2 linked regions of the Astyanax mexicanus genome follow. The protein of the gene in region 2 interacts with the protein of the main gene of each other region in a pairwise test. Links are inferred from orthologs where the notes say so. Each region holds a gene or a part of one and is shown on either strand. Other genes may lie near its edges.

What was found.
Region 1: the proteins of pak1 (region 2) and rhoj interact in binary tests that used the Homo sapiens proteins (3 or more experiments, as listed by UniProt). The link is inferred for Astyanax mexicanus from reciprocal best matches to the Homo sapiens genes PAK1 and RHOJ.

What each region holds. Positions count from the first base shown.
Region 1 is NC_064408.1:70,190,425-70,197,553, reverse strand, and holds the start of rhoj (rho-related GTP-binding protein RhoJ), read left to right. Parts: upstream 1-4,117; 5' UTR 4,118-4,462; coding exon 4,463-4,676; intron 4,677-7,129. Other genes in the region: kcnh5a (potassium voltage-gated channel subfamily H member 5a), read right to left, coding at 2,273-2,345.
Region 2 is NC_064416.1:5,300,606-5,307,636, forward strand, and holds the start of pak1 (serine/threonine-protein kinase PAK 1), read right to left. Parts: upstream 3,102-7,031; 5' UTR 2,878-3,101; intron 1-2,877. Other genes in the region: aqp11 (aquaporin-11), read left to right, coding at 6,880-7,031. UniProt on the Homo sapiens protein: Protein kinase involved in intracellular signaling pathways downstream of integrins and receptor-type kinases that plays an important role in cytoskeleton dynamics, in cell adhesion, migration, proliferation, apoptosis, mitosis, and in vesicle-mediated transport processes.

The sequences.
Region 1 (7,129 bases), on a different chromosome or scaffold from region 2:
TATACTGAATTGTACTCCATGTTCTTGCCAATACGCAATCTTACTCAACACAGACAGAAACTGGTTCTATTTTAAGCTCTGCAACAAAATGCTTAAATAAACACGTGTAGTGTTGGGAACAGTGAAATATGTAGAGTCATTATGCAGAACTGACAGTGTGGAAAGAGTCAATGAGCATACAGCATTTAAGCCTCCACATTTCACAGATATCTGCACTGTTACACTGTTCCTCCTACGATCATGCCAAGAAAACAAGCTTCATGTGTAAAGGGTGTGAGAAGAGCAATGAAGCAATTATAAAAGGAGTTCTTCAAGAGTTATTTACCAAATTAAACGGTTATATTTAAAAACAGGACTACTCAATCATTTAACCGCAACTACTCCTTTCACCAGAAAGAAAACTCATGGAAAACTCAAGCCATGGAATCGGCTAGATTGTGCTTTACACACAAGCCTCTTTGCAAAGAGCCTGCGTGTGAAAGGGAATAATGAAGAGGGAAAAGAGCATCACTTTTGTTCCTGTAACCGTGTGTGACCTCTGCTGGTGATCGGCACTAAGTGAGCACAACCACGCACACACTCCAGCACTGACGGATGACTTTACAGTAGTGAGTGTGTGGCAGCGCAGCCGGAGCGCCATGCCATATTACTGTATCTGTAAGTACTTTAGGACTTTTTACAACAACACTTTTAAGAAAGAGATAGAAAGACACAGAGAGAGAGAGACAGACAGACAGACAGAGATGTGCATTATCTATAGCTGTTTGATATGTTGGAATTGCTGAGAAGCACCACAGTAATTTCCATCAAGCACCTGTCTATTTCTCCCCGAACAAAACAGCTAAAGAGGCAGCATTTCCATTTTCATTATTCGATGTGTTCCCCTTGAGAACATATTGTCCTTAAGTCTGCTAAAACAATAATAATAAGAAGAACAGGAAGAAGAAAAAGAAGAAGAAGAAGAAGAAGAAGAAGAAGAAGAAGAAGAAAAATGGTGTCATGCAAGTAACACTACTTAGTAATGATAACAGTAATTTTACTGTATAAACAACAGCAGCAACATCAATACTAATAACACTAATTATCATAAAAATAAAAACAACCACAGTACTAATAACACTAACTATGTTAATAATAAGAATAATAATAAGAAGAAGAAGAAGAAGAAATATAATTATTATTGCTTTTGTATTAGTATATGCTAGGTTTAGGGTTACAGTAATTGTTATGAAACTTCTGCAACTATTTAGGTCAGTAACGATGACAGTAATTTTACTGTATAAACAACAGCAGCAACAGCAAATAACACTGTTTATGATAAAAGTAATAACAACCACCACAGTACTAGTAATACTACCAATAGTAAAAGGAACAAAAACAACAGCATAAACAATACATAATCAACATCAATCTTAGTGTTAAATGAACAATGCAAATTTCACTATTTAAAATGTTAATTAAGCGTTAATAGGGTTAATTTAACAAACTGGCAAACGGACTGTGTATTAGTAATTATAGCAGTACTAATAATACTAATTATACTAATAACAACAACGACAATAATAGTAAGAAGAAGAAAAAGAAGAAGAAGAAGAAGAAGAAGAAGAAACTCATTATACAAATCGTCATCTTTTGTTTTATCAGACTAAACTGCTATTAAACTGTAATAACACTATAATAAATCGCAAAATCTTCAAACGGGGACTGAGACGATCAGGCAGCTCTACAAGATGTGAGGCATCCGGAGCTGATGAAGTTCTGTGATCAGACTCTCTCTCGTGCAGGATGTTCCACAGTTGCAGTGCTGAAGAACAGCGCATTAAAACCAGTAGTGTATCACAGCTAGCTTACTTTCACCAGGATCTCTCAATTACAGCTGTTAGATTAAACGACTCAGCAGACTAATAAACCCTTAAATATCAGCCCACTTCATCTCTCTCTCTCACACACACACACACACACACACTCCGCAGAGTGATGCTGCAGTGGACCTAATGAGCGGATAACACGCAGCGCTGAGAGCAGAACTCTTACTGTAAGAACATCAGCAGCCTGTAAAGTACTGAAGTGCGCTGAGATCAGTGCTCTCACATGGAAGCATGTGCACAGAAAAGTTCCCCACAAGCAGCGGAGATGCTCCAATGCTCTGTTGCAGATAGCGGGAGTTCTGGGCAAACACGGCGCGTGCCGTCCGTCACCCACCTCTCCACATTTACGCACGCGGAGCCCCGACTCCAATTCCCCTCCACTAAAAAACAACGCGCGCTCTTACCGCTCGAGCGCCGCACGATGTTCTCCAGAAAGGTGTTCTGCGGTGCCACCAGGCCTCTCTTTCCGCCGTGCATCCTGCGCTCCGCCGCGAGCGTCTGTGGCCCAAGCTGAGCGCGCACACCTGGCCGAAGCTGATAGCGAACGTGCAGCGTGCGTGCGTGAGTGTGCGTGTGTGTGCGCGCGTGGTGGACTCGCTCATGGTAACGCTGCGCCCTGCCCGCGCGCCTCGCCCAGCTCCACTGTGGCCCCGGAGCTCCGCCGGCTCCGCGAGCTGCGCGCTCACACACTCTCTCACACACACGCACACACCCGCCCCCAGCCCCCCCACCACCTCCACCACCACTACCGCCACCTCGTGTGCGAGGAACGCGCGTGCGCACTGCGCGCTCCGCGGACACGCTACACAGGCAACAGATGGGAGCTGTCGTGCAGCATCTAAGCATATAACGGAAATGCACGCGCCTGATTAACCTCAGTGTCTCTTTAAAAAAAAAAAAAAACATTTAGGCTGATTATTGTGAGTTTTTTTTTTCTTCTTTTTTTCTAATTGCATATCCCCTGGAGAAATAGACCTTTAAATTTCAGTAAATGTTTAAATAGAAATCTGTTATTAAGTTAAATATTCACCACCAATACGGGATGATGGGGCAAAGCTGTCACGTATCACAGTTAACATTTTTTTTTATTTATTGGTTGTAACTATTTGTAGTTTAAATAGGCTGATTATAAGGGTTATAATAATGGTGAAGTAATTGACAAACGGATAGAGAAACATTATAGGCATATCCTAATTAACTGACGAAAAGTATCTGGCTGTAATGATGAGCAACTTGGATGGATGGATGGATGGATGGATGGATGGATGGATGGATGGATGGATGGATGGATGGATGGATGGATGGATGGATGGATGGAACGCATGGACTAAACAGTAAGATAAATTATTAAAGGAAAATTTGATGGTTGGATGAATTGACAAATTAGTTATTCAATCAATTAATCAATGAACGGAGAGGGGTGGAATTGATAATTGGCAGCTAAAAAAGTGATTTCATAATGAATGAATGAATGAATGAATGAATGAATGAATGAATGAATGAATGAATATCTGGATTGGAGAACAAATACAAATAATCATTTAATCAGTGAATTAATAAATGGCTCAATTGAGATTAAAATAATGAATGCTTAAGTCAATTATAAATATGGTGGGTACATTGGAGAATCAATACACTTATCATTTAGTAAATGATAGTGAGTGGATGAAATCATTGCCAATTTAAAGGATAGATTAATAAAAACATCAGCCATTGGTGGTGGGATTGGAGGAATAGATGGATGGATGGATGGATGGATGGATGAACGGATGGATGAACGGATGGATGGATGGATGGATGGATGGACGGATTGATGGATGGATGGATGGACAAAAAACAGTTTAGCAAAGAAGTTAAGTAATGCTTGGATTAATGAAAGTTTAAAGGATAAATACGCTAATGAATAAAGCATGAATTAATCAATCAATCGATCAAACACTGAGTATATGAAGGAGTGCACCAGTAAATAAACGAAATACTTATTCGTGGAAGGATGAACTGGAGTCGTATAGGCAAATTCATTTTTTTTTTTAATTCATTCATTATCTTCAACAGGTAATTATTGGTGGTGTAGATTAACAGAAATTGGAGAGTATGGAGGGATGAGGGGATGAATGACAGCAGTGCGCAGTGGTGGAGTGCTGAGGAGTGAAGTGCTCCAACTGCTGGATTACTCCTCCTCCACCCCCCCTTCTCTCTCTCTCTCTCTCTCTGGATTCCCCCTCGCTGAGTGGGACAGAGCCCCCATTGTTTCCAGCCCACCGCTGCCTAATATGGACTTGGCCAGCAGCAGCGGAGCTCTCTGATTTCCTGAACTCGGCCATGGCGCGCGGAGAGCCGCGGGAGCGCCGCGTGAGGAGAGCGCGCGCGAGGACGCGGGATGAGAGCGGAGAGCGTGGCTGCCGGTTTGTGTGAACGCGCGTGCGAGCGACGGCGCTGCTGGCCGGAGGTACGGGAGCTGAGAGCGCGAGGAGGAGAAGAAGCGAGCGGGTTTGAAACAGGAGGCGACAGGAGGAGGGCGCGAGCTACGGAAGCGCGCGCGAGAGCGTCCCGGTGAGAAATTACTGTAGCCGTTGTCCCCTAGGCGGAGCGCCATGCCTGCGCGCGGGAGGCGGAAAAGCCCCGGCGGAGCGGCGGCGGCGGTGGAGACGGTGGGGGAAGGCGGAGACGCCGCGGCGGCGACTAAGAAGATGTTGAAGTGTGTGGTGGTCGGGGACGGAGCGGTGGGCAAGACGTGTTTACTGATGAGTTACGCGAACGACGCTTTCCCCGAGGAGTACGTGCCGACCGTGTTCGACCACTACGCAGGTAAGCCCGGTATTTACTACAGCTGAACAGTCCCGGGGAGTACAGAGCCGGGGTCCGGACAGGGCCCTCCGAGTGTAGTTCAGTCTAGTGTTCTCTTACACCTCCCCTCCCCTCTTACTCCCAACACAGGCCCGAGAACAGGCGCTGAAACAGGAGCCGGGTTAAACTCCCACGCCGAGGACTGTCAGGCCTGAGACTGAGCTCACTAATCTAACTTCTGCCCTCTCACACTTTACACAGTGCTGTCTGTCAACAGCTGCTTTAAGAGCTGCCTAATAGATATAGCCTACAAAACACGTGTACAGTCACCTGTGTGTATACAGTGCAGTGTAGGGAAGTCAGACCAGGCCAACCTGTTGATCCCAAACTGAATCTAATCTCTAAACTCTATATCCAGAACAGAGTATAGAATACAGAATATAAAAATTATAGAGTATAGAATATAATGTTGTATCCTTTAATCTATCATATAGCTCTGGAAGAAAATAAGAGACCACTTAAAAACTATGAGTTTCTTTGATTTTACCAAATTGAAAACCTCTGGAATATAATCAAGAGGAATATGGATGATCACAAGTCATCAAATCAAGCCGAACTGCTTGAACTTTTTGCACCAGGAGTGGCATAAAGTTATTCAAAATCAATGTGTAAGACTGGTGGAGGAGAATATGCCAAGATGCATGAAAACTGTAATTAAAAACCAGAGTTATTGCACCAAATATTGATTTCTGGACTCTTAATGAGTATGAATATGTACTTGTTTTCTTTGCATTATTTGAGTTCTGAAAGCTCCGCATTTTTTTGTTATTTTAGCCATTTCTATTTTCTGTTAATAAATGCAGAAAATTAGAAATGTCTAAAATGAGAAATTGTCTAAATTACAATATTTTTATTTGGAATTTGTGAAAATGCTGTCCGTAGTTTATAGAATAAAACAAAAATGTTCATTTTACTCAAACATATACCTATAAATAGCAAAATCCGAGAAACTGATTTAGAAACTGGTCTCTTAATTTTTTAAAGTTTTAATGTCTGTTTTAATCACATTGACTAAGCAAAAAACCTTAACTATAGTCTGAGCAACAATATGTTTTAGGTTGAGTGAGAAAAAAAAGAACATTTGTAAAAATATGTTTCTGAGTTTTATTGTGTTGTAAAAGACTAGAGTTTTACAGTGTACCAAAAAAGAGTAAGTAAAGTCATATAGTTACTGTAGGTTGTACTAACCAACACTTTTTTATAAGGTTTAAGCAACTTCTGAGTTAGTATAGTCTACTCACAATTACTCTTTCAAACAACAAAATAATTTTAAATGAAACATACTGTTAAGACATTCTAAACAACCCATTTATGTATGATGACATTACTCAACATCACACTAAGGAATAGATTGTTTCACTTTAAACTCTGAATAAGGGACAGCTAGGTTCTTAGAATTTAAATGACTGTGACATTAACAGATGCCAGTGTTTCGAATGGCTTAATTCTGTAGTAGTGCATGAATGGTCACTGTTGGCCTCAAGCCAACATAAAGCCTCACTTAGCAGCAGAAAAAAGGATTAACCTTCTTTTACAGTTTTTAGCACTGAAATGAGGCAGCTAGACATAGGGAAGGTGGCCTGTGGGGATGACTATACACTGGTATGAATCAGAGGGGGTGGTATGTCCAGTATGCAAATGGTTGGTATCAGGAGCCAATGAGAACCAAGGTGTAAGTTTTATTCATAATTGTGGCAGTGACCAAACTTAAGACACACCCCCCCCCCCCCCCCCCTCAAAAAAAAACTTCACCTACTGAAACAACTCATGAGATGAGTGTCTCTTTGCACTTCATTTAATTACATTTCACTCTATGGCCATCAATACTGTCTGGAGCAAGTTAATGAGATGAGTAGTGAGTAATAGATTAGTAAATACTGCAACATGAGGGTAAATGTCCCTCTCAATAACCCTCTTAACACTTTTAAAGAACATAAATATACACTAACATGCCACATGTCATGAGACAGCATCTGGTATTGTTCCATGTTCCATGGAAGCTGAAGTATGCTGCATTGACATGTATGATATCCAAAAATATCTACAAATCTTGGAATAAAATGTAATGAAATCAAATCTAACTGGCACCCACTATCAGACCTTACTCAAACTTAAATAATAATTCTTGTAGTCTTGCCATGAGCACACTGGCCACTGGTCTTCAGCCTCATTCACAAGATAACAGCTCACAGCGTATAAAGTTATAAATGTTTCCAGGCCATTCCCTAAGATAAATAATGTCATAATCAGTTGTTCATACTGTTAGTCGTAATTTTGGAATGTCAGTGCAGACCTGATATGACTTTTGTCTCATCTGTGTAAAGGATGTTCTTCCAGAAGCATTGCTACTTGCCAATATGCGTTTTAGCAAAGTCCAGTTTAAATATTTTATGCTTTTCTTACAGTTGTAGGAT
Region 2 (7,031 bases):
AATTTTACAATCTGCAGCTGAGGCTGAGCAATTAACTCAAACTGAACTGAAACATTCAGAATCTCTAACTGACATAATAATGCCAGTGTCAATTATTGGGGTGGGAATCACAGGGCATCCCAGGACATAATATAACACATTAAATTGCCCACTATAACAATAACATTATTATAATACTCGATATATCAAGGCAAGACATAGAAAGTCTAGAGCACCTGTGCTTTAATAAATATATTGATATTTGACGCCACGTATCAATAATATATCACAAACTACAGCTAAACAATATTGTGATACTGATATTTTGTCCCACCCCTATTAATTATTATATATATATATTTTTTAAATAGTTTGTATACAAATTTAGATAATGGGGACATATTGTACCTCTTGTGGGCTCAGAACCAAGTCGCTGCGCTTTCCTGCGCTGTGATGCAACTCAGCAATGCTGCATCAGCAGCAGTTCAAAAAGAGGTGGAGTCTGACTTCACATGTATCAGAGGAGGCGTGTGTTAGTCTTCACCCTCCTGGTGTGTTGGGGCATCATTAGTGATAGGGGGAGTCCTAATGAGTGGGTTGGGTAATTGTCTGTGTAAATTGGGGAGAAAGTGGAGGAATGAAAAAATATAATAATAATAATAATAATAATAATAATAATAATATTAAAAACTATATAAATCATACCTCTTTTTACACAGAATAGAAAGAAGAATAGGTATATGGGCTGTACAAAACACATTCATGATGTCCTGATGCACAAAATCACTCTCATATAAAGAGATCTTAAGAATTGTTTCAAATCAGAATGAAATTCTTATAATAATAATAATAATAATAATAATATTCAGAAAGAAGAAGTTCTGGAAACAGTATTTTCCAGATATCTTGAGGCAGAAAGCAATTAATAATAATACTTTCTGTAGATCAGTTTATGATTTCACTGGAAGTCAATGTAAAAAGATTGTATTCCAGTTTTTTCAGGAGCATTTTATTGGTCAATTTTCATAAAGGGCAAAACCGGTGTTTTAGTGGGTGTAGTGCGCTGTGATCAGCAATTTAAGTCAAATGCCTGTTTTCCACTACTGTCACATTTAATATTATTGTAGAAACTTTTTTTCACTGTATTGTGACACCTCTAACACACACACACACACACACACTCTAGTAGATCAGTGAGGGAGTAAAAAGATCAGTTTGGATCATCTCTGCAGAGACCCAGATTCAATTTCATGCATGGTTGAGACTCAGGCGTGTAACTGCAGTGTATCAGATTGTGTTGTATTGTAATGTAATGTATTGTACTGTATCACAATAGAGTGTCACATCATGAGTAGTGTGTAGTATTGTAATTTTGCAACAACAACCTGAAGCATTTCATGCATCATATCAGATACCCATGTTTTTCTGTGATGCTGTAATGAAATTTAAGTGTTTAAAGTCTTGTAGGTTAGTCAGTTCACTGTTTCTTCAAATGCATAATGCAAACAGCTCAGTATCTATTGGTTAGGTCATTTAAAAGTGTGTTCTTCATGAAAACAGCATCAACTATGAAATAAACAGATCATTTCTTCATCACCTCTTCCAGTCTACTAGATGAAAGCATCATGGAGGGGAATTCAAATGTGGATCAAATTGAGCAACTTGTACCAAAGGAAATTCAAATAAAACATTTATTAAAATAAACATTCAGAAATCTTCCAACAATACACTGAAGTTCTTTAACTTTACTTTTACAACTAGCAAAAGACATAAATGAACACATGCTAAATGTACTCACAGATTATCAGAGATTATTTTATTCTAAATGACAGATAATTATCAGCAATAGTCCGGATCTAGAATGAAGTGTTATATTTATATATATATATATATATATATATATATATATATATATATATATATTGTTACGACCTGGTCTAGGTCAGCCCGTAACATAGAATAACGAGGCCCCCATGCCCTCCTGGTTCCCCAACCACACATACTCCTGTTAGTCAAAAGGTTTAGTTTATTTAACAAATTGTAAAGAATACAAGGCTTATTTTGTTTATAATAAAATTAATACATCTTCTAAATAAAATAAAATAAATTATACATATACACATACTATAGTTGTTCACCCATAGTAGTGATACGAGAGACAATAACAGCTCAGCAGCCACATGTCTTGCCTGTCATGGAGCGGGTTTCATCTTTCAGGTAATGAAACATTTCTTTTCAGCAGGACAACGCTTGTCCACACACAGCATATATATATATCATATTAATATCAAATTATTATTAATATACAAATTATTCATTCCCATGGCTTATAATAAGTCAGAGGATTCAATTTTATGCATCTTATTAGGATTTTCCAGTCTCATCATGCCTCAGGCACTCCAGTATATGTGTATGGGCGGAAAGGTGGAATGGAAAATCCCAGTAACTAAGAAGCTGGAGAACATGAGGTCAACTCTAGTACCATACACACACACACACCTACAGCTAAGACCCAGCAGTAGAAGCCTCAGACTCTCCAGTATGTGTATGGACTGCACCTTTTAAGGTGGAATTTTAAGGTGGAATGGAAAAGAACTGGAGAACATGAGGCCAACTCTTGTACCATACACACACACACACACACACACACACACCTACAGCTCAGACCCAGCAGCAGATAGCAGGACCTGCTGTCTGTCTATCTGTCTGTATGTCTACCAGTCTGTCTACCAATGCCTACCACCTAACACCACGCTCCCTCCAGTCTGGGCACTGGTAGACAGATAGATAGACATACAGATGGACAGACAGATAAATAGATAGATACCTAGACAGATAGAGGGGTACCCGGCCTGAGTGCGTACCCACGCGTGCCAATCCCTCCCCAACAAAACTCACCTCTGAAACCGGAGCTGATCCGAATTATAAATCCCAATCCGGTTTTCTTCTTGTTCTCCACCTCCTCTCTCCTTCTCTCTACCTCCTCTCTCCGCGTGCACTGCCCCTCTCATTCACCTTAAACTTGCCGGATCCTCGCTATTGTGTGACATGCACGCGCACACACACACATACACACACACTCTCACACACACAACCCTGCTGCATTGAGCCCCGCCCACCCTGCGCTCTGCTAGTGGTCGCTTCCAAATTCGGTCCGTCAGCGTCAGTGCCATTTTTACGCATCCCACCCGTATTCGAAGTGCCCCGCCTTTCCTGCGCTCTGATTGGTCTGCATGATCAGGAGGCGAGCATTGTAATTGGACGGTTAGGATATTATCGCTGCAGTATACATTTTTAATGTATACATTTCTAATTATACAACTATTCAATGTTTTTATAAAAGTAAACGTTTTATATTGTATTTAATAAAAAAAACAAAGACTGTGCACATTTTACCGGTTGTTAAGTAGACGTAGTTTAACGAAATCCACAGAACTGGTCGTGATGTGACACAAACAGTATATATTTTACGAAAATGAAAATAAAATAGAATTTCTAAATTTCACTGTTTTTTCTCAATCAGAAGGGCCTTAAGTTATCAGTAGTTCAAAAATCTCAAAAATAAAATAAAAAAGAAGTGGACAAATTGGCAAATTGGCAAATAAAAATACAATATTCTATTGAATAGAGTCTTTACTCTTCTAAACTCTTTACTAATCTTTACTTTTCCAGTGAACAATTTTAGTTAGTAAAACGTTTTCTAACAATTTTGATGCCAACGTTTCCCAGAGTCATGTCATCCGCTGGTTTTGGTCCAAAGTCAGTACAGTATTTTCCCGCAAAATCTTACCACTTCATGCTTCCCTCTGCTGACAACTTTTATGGAGATGCAGATTTCATTTTCCAGCAGGACTTGGCACACTGCCCACACTGACAAAGGTACCAATTGGTCTTATATATTATATTTATTTTTTTTGAGACATTGATTTTTGTTTTTAATTGGCTGTGATCCATAATCATCAACAATAAAATAAATAGATCACACTGTGTGTAATACATCTATATAATATATGTGTTTCACATTTTAAACTGAATTACTGAAATAAAATTACTTTTCAATAATACAATTAATTTTTTTGAGAAGCACCTGTATATAATATTGGGACTGCTGCTTGTGAATGTATTGTTTTGTTCAGTAAAACAAAATTTCAGTGAAATAGACAAGCTGGAGTTTAGCGTTTATTTTCTATCCTGATTTAAGGGACAAAAGGCAAAAAAAATGCTCAAATAAAAACCTCTAACTAAAAACTACAAAATGTACTACATTCATTGCATATATATCAACCAATCCCATCAGTTCTACCCTCCTCACCGTCCACCCGGCGGAGAGAGTATGACCTAACTACTAGCCAATAGCAGCAGAGGGGGCGGGGTTTGTCGGAATAGAGGTGGGAGGTGGACGCCTGTCTGTCCCCTTAGGCCGGTGTGGGCGGGGCTTTCATGGAATATGGGCACAGCGAGGGCGGGGCCTCTTTAAATATTCATGAACCCTATTCTAATACTACTGCCAGGCAGAGCTGACCAACGGTGACGTGTTCTACTCAATTTCCTGTAAGAAGTGCTGATAAGCACCGTCCAGGAATAATAAATTTTATTAAAATCTATGGGTTTATTTGTTTTTTTTTTGTGTCAATATTTTTTGCAAGATATTATTTTAAACTGTTTTATATATGTTATTTAATCGTCACTGAACATTAGAGTTCTATGGCATGAACAAAATATTAAAACATATTTTTAAAATGCTAATTGTAGTCAAAACTCTCAGTAGAAAAAAATCTCAGGGTTACAATTACCGTTTTAAAATGTTTTGGTAACGTTGCTGCAATGGCACTTTTGCTGCCATTTGCTGCAATGTAATTTTTAGTTTTGAAATTGTTACTTTTAAAGTTTCCATAATGTTAATATTCGTCTAGCCGGAATATTACGTGAGAAACGTTCTAATAACGTTGTGTTACAAACATTTATTATGTCACACTTTTTTAAAACGTTCTTGAAACATTATTTATGTTCTCTCAGTAGAACAATTTCTAAGGGTTACAATTCACGTTTTTAAACGTTCTGGTAACGTCGCTGCAACGTCAATTGTATCAGTGTTTTAATTTTTAGCTTTGGAATTGTTTTAACGTTTAACGTTTCCATAACGTTAGTATTCGTCTGGCTGGGAACGTTACGTGAGAAAGGTTCTAATAACAAACATTTATTATGTCACTCTTTTCAGAACGTTCCTGGAACATTATTTATATAAAATTACAGGCTAACCTGTATAAGAATGTTTAGCAGCATTTTGAAGATGTTCCGGGAAGGAACATCTTCAAAATGCTGCTAAACATTCTTATAACGTTCTCTGTTGGTCAAAGCACTTTAACCAATTATATATATATATTTTTTTAATATATATTACATATGTAGTATCACATATTACACTAGGAAATTAAAAAGTGATTTTTGGTCAGCTTACTAGACATTTACCTTGCTATAATCATCTAAACGTTATAAATAATGCAAGTCCAAACGTTATCGTGTAGATACTGGTCTGTGATTTATTGTTGATCGTAAATGTAAGGCTGCGATGCTGACATTATTGATTTCCCTTGAGAATTACTGCAAGCTGAATGAGCTGGACACAGACTGCCATTTCTGCCTGTTAATGGAAATAACGCTGTTAGACTGTTACACAGTGTTCTGGCATCACCTTCAGGCCAGCTGCAGTATTGATATTGTCTTGTTGGAGAAAAAGACACTGCAAGACAAGGATGTCACCTTTCCTTGATATCCTTGAATGATTTTATGATATTAGGGAAGAGACGTATTTGAATATTTCAATCATTTTCTCACCATTTCTAAAATTATATATAAAGCTGTAGGGAAAAAATAGGGACCACTTAAAAATATGAGTTTCTTTGATTTTACCAAACTGAAAACCTCTGGAATATAATCAAGAGAAAGATGGTTAATCACAAGCCATCAAATCAAGCTGAACTGCTTGAATCTTTGTACCAGGGGTAAATGCATAAAGTTATCCAAAAGCAGTGTGTAAGACTGGTGGAGGAGAACATGCCAATGCATGAAAACTGTGATTGTAAACCAGGGGTATTACACCAAATATTGATTTCTGAATACTTAAAACTTTATGAATATGAACTTGTTTTCTTTGCATTTTTAAGGTCTGAAAGCTCTGCATTTTTTGTGTTATTTCAGCCATTTCTCATTTTCTGCACACAAATGCTCTAAATAGACCAATTTTATTTGGAATTTGGGAGAAATGTTGTCAAGTAGTTTATAGAATAAACCAACAATGTTCATTTTACTGAAGCATATACCTATAAATAGCAAAATCAGAGAAACTGATTCAGAAACTGAAGTGATCTCTTATTTTATCACAGAGCTATATATGGTTGTCTTGTCTTGTCAGGTCTATTTCTGTCTATATTGTGTTCAACTCTGACTATAAGCTTCTTTTCCCCACACAAATTATACAAGTTAGTTCCGACCTCACAATCTGACAAACGTTGTAAGTCTATGATATTTAATATGTTATATGTATTTTATGTAAACTCCACCAGAAGCATGATAGGAATTAATCTCAAAAAGAATCTAGTTGCAGTCTTGCAAATAGTGCATGGACAGCATTAATAGCATTAGCAGGTGATGCTGCACTGCATTCTGGTTACTGTGGTGATGAAAACTAGTGGTGATGATGTCCAATCATCGGACAGTATTTAAGTGTGGATAGAGACTGACAAATCCCAAAACAGGGGGGGGCGTGGTTTATCGGGATACGGGCGCAAAATAATAGGCTAAAGCCGTTAGCCTGTGTTTAGCCGGTTCTCCGGAGGAGAGATGGAGGATTAACGGGAATCAGGCGTGAATCAGGCCACGCACGCCCCACCGGACCTCCCCATGGCGGACCTCGCGGTTTCTCTGCTCGTGCTCGCGGGAATCGTCCTCGCGTGCGAGCTGGCGAGGCGCGCGAGCGCGAGGCTACTGTTCGGGGCCGGGGCAGGTACCGGCGCGTACGCGGCCGAGCTCATCTCCACGCTGCAGCTGTGCGC